Linked DNA regions of Oryzias latipes. The protein of the gene in region 1 purifies or fractionates together with the protein of each later gene. This does not show direct contact. Links are inferred from orthologs where the notes say so. Each region holds a gene or a part of one and is shown in the gene's direction. Other genes may lie near its edges.

Region 1 (6,450 bases):
CTGCAAGGTAATTCTCCTTTGACAGAGGAAGGCTGGGGCTCTGACAGGGTAACCATCGGTTAATGGTCACCTCAATGACTAAAGCTCAGATGGCCGGCCAGGTGGAGTCCTGGTGGTACCAAACTTCTTCCCCGTAACCCTTGTGCTATCCTAGGCACTTTAAGATTGGGAGTTGGGTCATCTAGACCCCACTAGACAATGCGCTGAACCTTTTTTCTTCAATGATTTGTGATCTTCACTGGTGTCCATGGATTACTAAAAATCTTTCCACCTTTGTCATGGTTGGGAGAACACGTCAAAATACGGGTGGGATCTTCTAAGATAGCACAAGGGTTAAGGATGATGGAGGCCACTGTACTCGTAGGAACTTCCAAACTAGCAGAGATTTTGCTGTAACCTTTCCCAGCCTTGTGCCTTGAGACTATACTTACACTAAGAAATTAACTCATTAGAAAAAGCATTATAAGCTAATGTGAAGTGCTGTCCCCAATAGTGGTCTATCAGTTTTACTATTTTAGAGTGATTTGGGGTGACTGGGTTCAATAACTTCAAAACTATTGAAGAGAAAGGCAAACACACTAAAAAATTAACTAAAACTGAGAAAAAAACCAAAAAAAACTTAAAAGCTAATCTAAACAGATGTCCCTCAATAGTGGCTAATTTTGTTATTTTGGAGTAAAACAAATTAAGTTATTTAATTTAATAACTTTTAATAACTTTTAACGTTTAATAACTTAAAGCTATTGAAGAAAAGTGCAAAACGTTAGACTAAGAAATTTACTAAAATTAGAAAAAGCATCAAAAGCTAATGTGAGCTGCTGTCTCCAATATTGGTCAATCCGTTTTACTATTCTAGAGAGATCTGGCGTGATTGGGTTCAATAAATTAAAAGCTATTGCAGAAAAACACAAAATTTGACACTAAAAAAACTCGAAAGCTTATCTAAATAGCTGTCACTGATAGTGGTTAATCTGTTTTATTCTCTAGAGGGATTTGGGTCCAATGACTTAAAAGCTTTAGAAGAATTTTTATATCGTATGAATATATAGCTAACTTTACCTCTGTGACAATTCACAGATATTCCTCCAGAATTGTAAACTTACAGCTTAATATATTCATTTATGTAGTAAACTTATAAGTACATAATTGTTTAGTTATCTCAGCCCTTGATATTTTATGCTTTTTTAATTCATCCTTAATATAATAATGAATGTTGTAATCTATTACTGTTTTGTTTGTTTTTTAATGTTTCCACTATGCAGAAGATCAAAAAACGCAAAATGTAATAAAAATTAAAACAACCACAAATAAAAAGTGAATTTTGGAGTAATTAACCAACTTAAAAATGTAAACATGGGAAGCTACAGCTCCATGAAAGCAAACCAAAACCACTGCAGCAGATTCCCTCCTTCACATTCCTCAGAAAGGGTCTTTAAGAACTGCAGAACGTGCCAGGCGGAAGTGGGCGGACGTGACAAAAACCGCGTGTTTTATCACTTTAACCCACAAGAACCCCTGTTGTTGTTGGACACGCGCGAGGAATGCCTTCTACTGGATACTGAAATGCTTCACGTGTGCACGAACTCTCAAAGTTTTACTCAGTTAAATAAGGGCTTTGTATCCTAGCAGATGGAGGCGTAGTCCCCAAAACGTTACTTCCAACAACTATTGTAAAAAATTATTTGTCAAACCACACAGACTTCCTGAAGAGACAATGCAAATGAATACCAATATTTTCTTCGAGGTCAAGAAACGTCCAACGTGTTAGCTATCATAATTAGCTAGTCTGTGCACAAATGAAATGTTTTTCTTGCCTGGTGGTGAACGAAAATCCTTTATTTCTTTAACTCTGCAACACCTAAAAATGCTGCTATAAAATGTTATTGAAAAAAAAGTCTGACTTTTTTATTTTAACTAGTCATAATATATATCAGGTATTTAAGCAATTTAAAAAAATCACCTAAGTTTTCTTTTTAATCCGTTTCGAGAAAAAACTCCGATCATCATCTAACGGGAAGGGAGGGTAGCGGCAAGTTGTTTACCAACTCGTATTGTTAAATTGGAATAAAAGTTCAAGCAATGCTCCTCTTCAAAAACAGTAAAACTTTACACCGAAGCTTGAACAGAAAAGTATGCGCTTCAAGTACCTCCACGGCGAAGTCAGTCACCATCTGCTAACTTCCTCTCCCGACCTGCTGCACCTACATGGCTGGCAATTCAATTCGTGTCTATTTGTCTGGGCACGTCAGCCCAGAAGTCAAAGGGGAATACTGCCATCTAGTGTTCTGGAGTGTCCACTGTTTTCATTTGGCAAAAAACGCAAATATTTTGCACTGACATATTTTTCTTTTGATAATACTATTATCAAAAGAGAATTATATATTTTGCTTCACTTAACTTTTTTTCTGGTAAATTGAAATATTAATTGCAAAATGTTTACGTCTTAAGGGAAAACTGCATTTTGTGACGTTTATTCTAACTCGTGCCATCGATACTTGATCCTCACAGGTTTCCGTTACTTCTGTGTGTGACGCGCCTGCGCATTGCACTGGCACACTACATTCCCTCGTTTCTTCGTTGGTTTTCTCGCAGCCAAACGTATACAAGGAGGCAGGTAGATTAGTTTTTTGTAAGTTTAGGATCATATTACGAAAAAACAGACTGGTTTTAATCGTGTTTTCTTCGGTGGAGGAAAAAAATCTGGAGGTGAATCTGTAAAACGTTTCTGTAAGTATGAGCGTTTGCGTAAATCTTCATTGTCTGAGGAGTAGAGGGCCGCTTTTGTGGCAGGTTGTCAATAGCTAAAAACAAGTGACCGCATGTACATAGTGCTGATAGTTTTCCTGAACATCTAGCACTTTATATTTTTTAACGTCTATTTCATATCCATTTGAACATGCAACGCGTCTTTTTTTCAAGTACAAATATATAAAGTCTGTCTGAAGTTGCGCCAAAGGAAGGTATTCCGCGTCGCTTTTGTTATATGATGCTGTTTTCACCTATTATTTCTTTATGGTAAACATTTTGACGTTAAAAATGTGGAAGCTGACTTTAATGTACATCAAATGCCACTTCGCGATGTTTTTGTTTTGCCAGTTAAGAAAAAAGAGTTTTTATACGTCAGCGTACCGAAGCTAACTGAGCTAGCTAAAATTTTTAGCCATCGAGCTAATTTGTAAACGCTTAATTTAGCCAATACGGCTATACAATCTACATTGCAATTGTATGCATCAACTTTACCTTTTAATAAACAAAATATTTCTACAACACGTTAAACTATAAACGAGAGTATAATAAATTTGACGAAGGGGCTGTGCAAGCATGTAATTTGAAATACTTGTGTGCTCTTCTGTCTCCTTGCAGTGCTCAGTAGATGCTATTTTTTTCATGATGGCAACCGAAGACAAGAAACCAGAGACTGACACAAAACCTCCAGTTGTGCAGTCAGCATCTGCAAGCCAAAGCAAGGTCTGGATATAAGAAAATGACTGAGTACTCTGGGCCGTGTTCTTGTGCAACTGCAGCTTTGCATCAATTGTTTCTTTTGTTTTCCAATTAATACAAGATTAAATGGTGAACAATGCATTTTGGTTTTTGTTTTAGCAGAGTTGATATGTACTTCTTTTCTATCTTACCAATGGCATTAAATGTGCCCCCCCACAGTCTGCGCCTGCAAAGCCAAACTACAGCCTGAAGTTCACGTTAGCAGGACACACCAAAGCCGTGTCTTCTGTCAAATTCAGTCCAAGTGGAGAATGGCTCGCCAGCTCATGTGAGTTCATCCTCCTCTGTGTGGCTTTTAAGCAATGAATGTCTCAAAATGTACTCAACATGAAACCATTATATTGGTTGATGTTGACCCTGTTCAAAGGGAGTTTACTCAATGAAAAAAAAAAACTATGTAGAGTTTACAAAATGTTAACATTTAGGAATCTAAACAAGAGGCCGTCAGCTCTCATCTACCTGCCCAGCTGTTGGACAGGACAAGTAAAAAAAAAAAGAGAGAGAAAAAAAACAAACATTTAGGAATCTTGAGTTTATTTCAAATGATTTTTCGGATTAATTGTTAGAACAAAACATGTGAAGTAGTTATGTACATATATATTTTTTTACTAAAGCCACTTTAGTAGTGTTATTCCTTTCTGCCCCTTTGGCTTTTTGCCCTGACGTTGGACTTTAAAAGGCCCATTTCACCATGGTGTCATATTTTGTTCCATTCTCCGATCCGCCTCCAGAGTTAGTCTCAGAGATGAAATAGGTGGGTGAAAGGGTAAGACAATGCCAGGGCTGTAACCAGCATCCAAATACTTGGAAATCTTTCTATCTTTTCAAGAACAATGTTTGGGCATATTTGTTGTCTTTATAAATATAGTAGAATATAGTACAAATAAACTTCACGCATTGTAATTATCACTCTAAATCAGCAGAATAATGTTGGAATTCGAGGATATAAACTGACAGATATCAGCTAAAGATGGTAAAGTGTGACAGTTTCATGCTGAAACTGATGATGATTTATTTTCTGAACCAACAGTGTTTAGTTTTGTTGGGAAAACCAAAAAATAGAAACTTATAAAGTGCTGTTCACTGATGCTCCAATATCCCATAATCCATCCAACTAACATACGTCACTGTGCCTCTGTGCTGTGGAGGTGGGGAACACGTTGAACTAAGAAGTTAACATTCACTGAGGCCCCCAGCCCCAAAATGAACTTGTCAAGGAGAAATAATCAGAGAAAACTAGAACCAAATTAGAATTAAACGTAGAATGTTCTAATCTAGTAAATATAGTTTTCTGTTTATCAGATGTATTAAACTTGTCATTTGGATCAATTTGTATGCTGTGTTACATTTGTGTGTAGTGTTGGCTTCATAATTGATGTGATGACAGTAATTCATAGATTTGACTGATGTTCTCTTGTTCCAGCTGCTGATAAACTCATCAAGATCTGGGGAGCGTATGATGGCAAGTTTGAGAAAACCATATCTGGACACAAACTTGTGAGTAAAACTGTACTCTGATATTGCTCTGATATGTTCTCTGGATTTCCTGTGGGAGGAATAGATTTTAGAAGCGCCCTTCTCCTTCTTATGTGTCTGAACTATTTCCCATGATCCTGCAGGGCATCTCTGATGTGGCCTGGTCCTCTGATTCCAACCTGCTGGTGTCTGCATCAGACGACAAAACCCTGAAAATCTGGGATGTCAACTCGGTAAGAAGGTTCTGCACTTGTTCTAGGAGCCAAAACGTATTTTTTTGGCACTTATTCTTGTTTACCCTTTAATTTAGTATATTTCCCCTTTTTAATTTCCTAAGTAATGACATCTGGGTAAAAGGTTGTACAAGCATTCACTCACCTTCACTCAGGATGGCAGAGAAGAGGCATCTTGGACTGTTCATTTTTGTTAACAGCTATTTTTGCTGCTTTCATGCCACTTTATTGCTGCCATTTTTTTGGAGTCACCCTTTTCTTAATCAGATTCATCCACTCGTATAAAGTAAACACAGTTGGAGACGGCTGCTTTAGCCTATGAATGTCTTGAGTGTTAGATGACATTGTTTATATGATGCTTTGCGGCTGTTGACAGTTTGCTGAACAAAGAAGCGGCCATTTCCTCTCCAGTCTGTATTTTTAAGCAATGTGAGCTTTTTTCCCCCCACACAACTTTTTATTAAGGATTTTGTTCTGACAACACAGCAATCACAACAGTAGCAGTCGTATGTCTCTTACAGAAAAAAGGCTCCACTACATACATAATATATATAAAAACATGGACATGCTCACTGAGTCGATCAGCTACGCCAACCCCAGGAGGTTGGCAGAGACGGGAGCAGCATTGGGGGCAGCCTGCTGGGGTCTTCTTTAAACGGGCTCACAGAGACGTGGAGACACAGTGGAAGCCGGCTGTCATTCAGAAGCAGCTTCTGCAGCAGGAGTGGAGTGGAGCTGGAGAATCTCTGATCGATGAGACGTGGCTCAGATGCTTCTGTAGAGCTTCTCTAAAGAACTCATTCTGATCTCTAAACATCCTCCATGTCTTCCATGCATTGTCATGAGATGCACACAGACACCGCTCCATGCAGCCATCAGGCTGAAAACATCTGGTGGTAGCTCCTCCCACACACAGCTGGGGCGTCAAGCTTATGAACACAGTTTTGGACAGACGTCCAGCAGCAAATTCATGTGGCGAGGGAGAGGCGACCAACACCAATCGGTGTGAACGCAGCTTAAGATCCACATTTTACTCAAATGTCTGGTATGTTTTTGCCGTGTTTGCTTAGTTGCACTGATGTACAGTGTTCCCTCATTTATCACGGGAGTAACATTCTAGAAATAATAATAATTATAGATGTTTGAAGACTTGACTCACTCCACACTTCCTACACTTTTCTCAGACAGACATGAACATTTTCACACTTTTCTCTTCTTTAAACTCTAAAACTTCAGA
Region 2 (5,328 bases), on another chromosome or scaffold:
ATGTTGTTTTGTTTGTTTTTTTGTTAACATGTTTGCATTCTCCAGGAAAGGCCACGATTTCCAACGATGGCGCTACCATCCTGAAGCTGCTGGATGTGGTTCACCCTGCTGCTAAAACCCTGGTGGACATCGCTCGTTCGCAGGATGCTGAGGTGAGTAGAAGTGGTATTCTGAAGCAGCTTTAAAATTGAAATTGACTTTTAAATGAAGGCGCCTCTCTACATATACAGGTTGGAGACGGCACCACGTCCGTCACCCTCCTGGCCGCCGAGTTCCTGAGGCAGCTGAAGCCGTTCGTGGAGGAGAGTCTCCACCCTCAGACCATCATCCGCGCTTTCCGCACTGCCACCAACCTCGCTGTCAGCAAGATCAAAGAGATCGCCGTCTCTGTGAAGAAAGACGACAAACAGTGAGCTGCCGATGGTTTTTGCGCAGCTGAGACTCAGTCCATCGTGTTTGCTGATGTTTACCTCCATCCTGTCAGAGAGCAGAGGCAGCTGTTGGAGAAATGTGCAGCGACCGCCCTGAACTCCAAACTGATCGCTGGGCAGAAGGAGTTCTTCTCTAAGATGGTGGTGGATGCGGTCATGTCTCTGGACGAGCTTCTGTCTCTGAAAATGATTGGCATCAAGAAGGTCCAGGGAGGAGCGCTGGAGGTGGGTGTTCTTTCTCGTCTCTGAGCGTTTGGTTTCTAGCTGGCTGCTTTTTTGACTCCCTTGTGATCATTTGTTTGCCCGCAGGATTCCCAGTTGGTCTCTGGCGTTGCTTTCAAGAAGACGTTCTCCTACGCTGGCTTTGAGATGCAGCCCAAACGCTACGATAACCCGAAGATCGCTTTGCTCAACGTGGAGCTGGAGCTGAAAGCAGAGAAGGACAACGCTGAAGTTCGTGTCAAGTCTGTGGAGGTATGAGGCTGCTACAGCAAATCCTCTTTAAGCTGTGTTCATACATGTGACATGTGTTCAAGAACTCGCTCAATTTAGCTCATGATGTTCACACTGGACAACCAGGAAGGGGCTTTTTTCTTCTTTTACTGTTTACTCGCGCATCTCCACCACCTACAGTTGGGAGAGGCTCTGTGTGAAATGTTGAAGTGGTGCAAATCTCATGAATCTTCTTCCAGGCTTTTTATTTCTCAGCTCTATTGCAATATATGAAAGACTTGGTGTCACATAATTTGGACCAGGCACAAATCACAATTATCGATTTTCTCGGCACTTCCTTAAATTAAAAGGGATGCCGTCCATACGTCTCTACCAAATCCTGATCGGTTGAAGTTTGATGGGGTTTATCTTTCAACATGCCCATAAAAAGTTTTAAAAACTTGTGTAGCAACGTTTGAACGTGAGTTTTAAATGAAAGCCTGAAATGTGCGTTTACGTTGATCTCTATTTGGAAGTGGTGGCTTGAACGCCCATTGCTGAGAGCAATTTCCTTTCCTGCTTGGTGAAGAAACATTTCGTCCACTTCTTCTGCAGGAATATCAAGCCATCGTGGATGCAGAGTGGAACATTCTGTACGACAAACTAGAGAAGATCTATCAGTCTGGAGCCAAGGTTGTTCTGTCAAAGTTGCCCATCGGCGACGTGGCCACCCAGTACTTTGCAGACAGAGACCTGTTCTGTGCTGGCAGGGTGCAGGAGGAGGACCTGAAGAGGACGATGATGGTGAGACAAAAACAATGTTTTCTGAGGTGTTTTGACGGCAAGACTCTGCTTTATTGAATCAAAAAAGAACCTGAAATCTCGTTTTAGGTTTTTTTGCTATAATGTTCTTTTGCCCTCCCAGGTTTTTGATGTGGAATACTGTTGGGATTATTTGAAGGCCCACTCCGATGAAAACTGTGTTTTTAAAATGTTCTTGAGGCATTTTTCTCATGATAGAGGACATGTAGAAAGAAAATTAAGCTTAAAACTGCATTACTGAGTATTTCTTTCTTCAAACAAATCGGGAGCAGACGAGACAAGTGCAGTTTGATAAAGGTGACGTAGAAAATACGCTGAGCGGGCCACTTCCTGCTCTGCTCCATTCAGATGCATCCACTTGTAGATAGATCCATGTACATCTTCATTTTCCTTGTCTGAGCTGGCATCTGGATCAAAACTATATGGCTGGATAGCTCCAATACTGGTCGCCCTTTTTTTGCAACAGTAATGTGAGGTTGGGGTTATGAGGGGCTGTAAGCTACCGGGAAAGCACGTAAACAGGGAGCTCTCAGTTATGGGTGACGGGAAAGGAGGCGGGTTACTCTGCACCAACAGTCCTGCTCACACCTCAGAGGTGAATTTCTTGTGAACTACTGCCTGCCGCTCTGCAGAAACTGTTTTAGAAACCACACAGGTTTTTGTCTTTTGGGCTAAAAACGGCATAATCTTAACTGAAAGACCATTAAGAACAATCTTACAATAGATCAAAAGATGCTAAATGGTAAATGGCGTATACTAATATAGCGCTTTTCTTCCTACAAGCACATAGCGCTTTACAGTCACAGACCCATTCACCCAGTCACACACACATTCACACACTGGTGGCGGCTCCGCTGCCAAACATAGGCGCCTGCCTACCACCAGTGGCAAGGTGGGGTTCAGTGTCTTGCCCAAGGACACTTTGACTCATGGGCATGCAAGGCGGGAATCGAACCTGCAGTCTTACGATCATGGGTCGACCGCCCTACCGCTGCACCACGGCCGCCCCAAAAGATGATCTGAGTGGGTTTTTAAAGACGGTCAGACAGCAAACACGCTTTGATCTGTGTTGTCATGTGATGTTAGGCTTGTGGCGGCTCCATCCAGACGTCTGTGGGAGCGCTAACAGAGGATGTGCTGGGACTTTGTGAAGTATTTGAAGAGGTTCAGGTGGGAGGAGAAAGGTGAGAAAAATGAGTTGACTTCAGATCCATCTGTGCATTTTGTTCTTCAAATACCTTTTTTAAAAAAATTCTATATGCAAATGGGTAGATTTTGTGAACTGCAAATGACTGCATTTTTATGCTTTCAAAGTAGATTTGGCAGATGTTGCATTTAAGGTTGGGCGATGTCCCTTAAATTGGCAGTTGACGATGTTTGCAGTAAACCATTGGGATGGACGATGATATCATCGGGGGGGATTTTAAACTTTTCGTTATTATATAATTATTATCTGTTATTTAACTTTATTGCTTTATTTATTTTATTTCCCCAACTACTGACTCATCCACGATGATCCAGTATAAACTGAGGGAAGTGACTAACAACAACAACAAAAAACAAAATAGAAAAGAAGTAGTCCGCTCCTGCACTTGATTAGTCAAGTGGACCGAGCGACCGTGTCTCTGGGCAGAGCAGACGGACTTTGTGTTTGAGGTGAAGGGAGGATGCTTTGTTACGTGTGCGCTATGATTGGGAGACTTCGGACTGCCATCCGTCCCGCAGCTCTAGGTGAACGAGCTACTGAGCTCAGGAGAACCGGGTGTCCCGGTAAAAGTGTGTGTCCGGGCAGAGCTCGGACCGCCAGCTCACACAGCGGCTTTGGGGCGGTGTGTGAGCTTTTCAAAGCAGAAATGCCGCTCAGTCCTTAAAAACCGTTCAATCACGTGGATTTGTGTTTCCAGTCGTGTCCCGAAAAAACAAAGGCTGATGTTATTCCCACATATTTACGTTCAGCCAAGCTGGAGATTGCAGCATTTCCCGCATGGATTTTATGTTCATCAAAGGTTAAATGTTGTTGTTAACCCGTGTTAGCCTCTCCTAGCCCTGGCTTCTTCCGGCTCTGTTCTTCTACAGAAAAAGCACTGACCACATGGATTAAAATTAAAATGATGACCAAACAAGTGCTTCATAATAACCGTCACATTAATAAAAGCACGTTTAGTAGATCGTTTTGTATATCACAGAGCTGCCAGATATCTATGTATGTAGCCTCTCATTGGGACTCATTCCCTCTTCCGGTATTTCAAACACTACTGCGCATATATGAATGATTTATTCTGACCGAAAGTGTGACCATGTGAACATTTGTTATAATCGGAAAAAGTTTTTCTGGGCCCATGTACACGATTGAATTCTAATCCGACCATTTAGCTGATCGAGATATTTTGTACATGTAATCACGGCTTATGGTGTCGACTCGCAGCGTGGCGGCGGCGTGGCATCACGATGGTGTCTCTCCATCGTGATGTCAGTCAGCCGTCATGATGGATGATGGTATTGTCGGTCGGCACAACCCTTGTTGCATCCACGATTTGCTGCTTTTGATGAAAAAAAAACAGTTTTAGTTTGACGTTTTGGTTTCTGTGGCATAATATAAATGTATTTTTCTTGTAAAACTCTTGTCAGTTTTTTAAATGAAATAATTGAGAATGAACATGCAATATGACAGGTTTACTTCCTGTTTTACTTTGAAGGTACAACTTCTTTAAGGGGTGCCCGAAAGCGAAGACCTGCACCATCATCCTCAGAGGCGGAGCTGAGCAGTTCACAGAAGAGACGGAGCGATCGCTGCACGACGCCATCATGATTGTGCGCAGAGCCATCAAGGTGAGTTGGAGCAGAAGAGACATCAGCTTTGGTCATCAATATCCTCGGTTGTCAGTTTCTTTTTTTTCTTATTTTGTGCAAAATGCAGTTTTTATTTTTTTAATCATTTTTTCCTCCAGTTTGATTTTAGAGTAAAATACATCGTTGTTTTGGTCTTGACTTCCTGTTGGTCCTGCTTTCTTAATTCTTGGCATGTTTGTCAAATTTAAATGTTTCAAATCCTGAAATTCAGTGTTGGACAAACATACTGCGAGATTTTGCCGAGCTTTTGTCTGCACTTGAATTATTTTATTTTTATCCTGTAGTGTCTTTAGAGATTTTGAATTGTGGCTTCAACCTTTCTCTGGGTGTTTTATGCTGATGACACTGCTGTTTTCTAACAAAGAAATTATCCTGGAATTCCTTTCATTTCAACTAGAAATCATGCATATAAATGATTTTAAAATTTATTTGTATAATAGTGCAAAAGATAAGTATTTGTTCAATTATAAACGTTCCCTTCAATATACGTAGTAATGCAATGCTGGTTGTCAGTGAGGTCAAAGGTTTCCTGTAGGTTATCAGGTTTGCACTGTCGCTGTTATTCTGGTCCATTCTTCCATACAGATCTTCTCAACAGCTGGGCTGTTGCTTGGCAACACAGACTTTCAACTCACTCCTAGATTCTCTAGACCACTGTAGAACCTTTAAATGCTCTTCATGCTGGAAGATCCTCAGCTCTCACTGCTGGAAGGATGTTTTTGTCAAAAATCTCACCATATATGGTGATCTTGTGTGAAGCCCCAGGTGAAGGGAGTTTGTCAGTGATCTTCTG

The links.
Region 2: the proteins of wdr5 (region 1) and cct7 purify together in Homo sapiens (affinity purification with mass spectrometry; 3 studies listed by BioGRID and IntAct, with this or other methods). This does not show direct contact. The link is inferred for Oryzias latipes from reciprocal best matches to the Homo sapiens genes WDR5 and CCT7.

The regions. Positions count from the first base shown.
Region 1 is NC_019870.2:23,023,905-23,030,354, reverse strand, and holds the start of wdr5 (WD repeat-containing protein 5), read left to right. Parts: upstream 1-2,536; 5' UTR 2,537-2,727; intron 2,728-3,363; 5' UTR 3,364-3,387; coding exon 3,388-3,468; intron 3,469-3,663; coding exon 3,664-3,772; intron 3,773-4,927; coding exon 4,928-5,001; intron 5,002-5,123; coding exon 5,124-5,213; intron 5,214-6,450. Other genes in the region: bromodomain-containing protein 3, read right to left, coding at 2,148-2,171.
Region 2 is NC_019876.2:13,089,145-13,094,472, forward strand, and holds part of cct7 (T-complex protein 1 subunit eta), read left to right. Parts: intron 1-45; coding exon 46-152; intron 153-230; coding exon 231-409; intron 410-484; coding exon 485-656; intron 657-740; coding exon 741-905; intron 906-1,478; coding exon 1,479-1,667; intron 1,668-2,771; coding exon 2,772-2,869; intron 2,870-4,381; coding exon 4,382-4,514; intron 4,515-5,328. UniProt on the Homo sapiens protein: Component of the chaperonin-containing T-complex (TRiC), a molecular chaperone complex that assists the folding of actin, tubulin and other proteins upon ATP hydrolysis.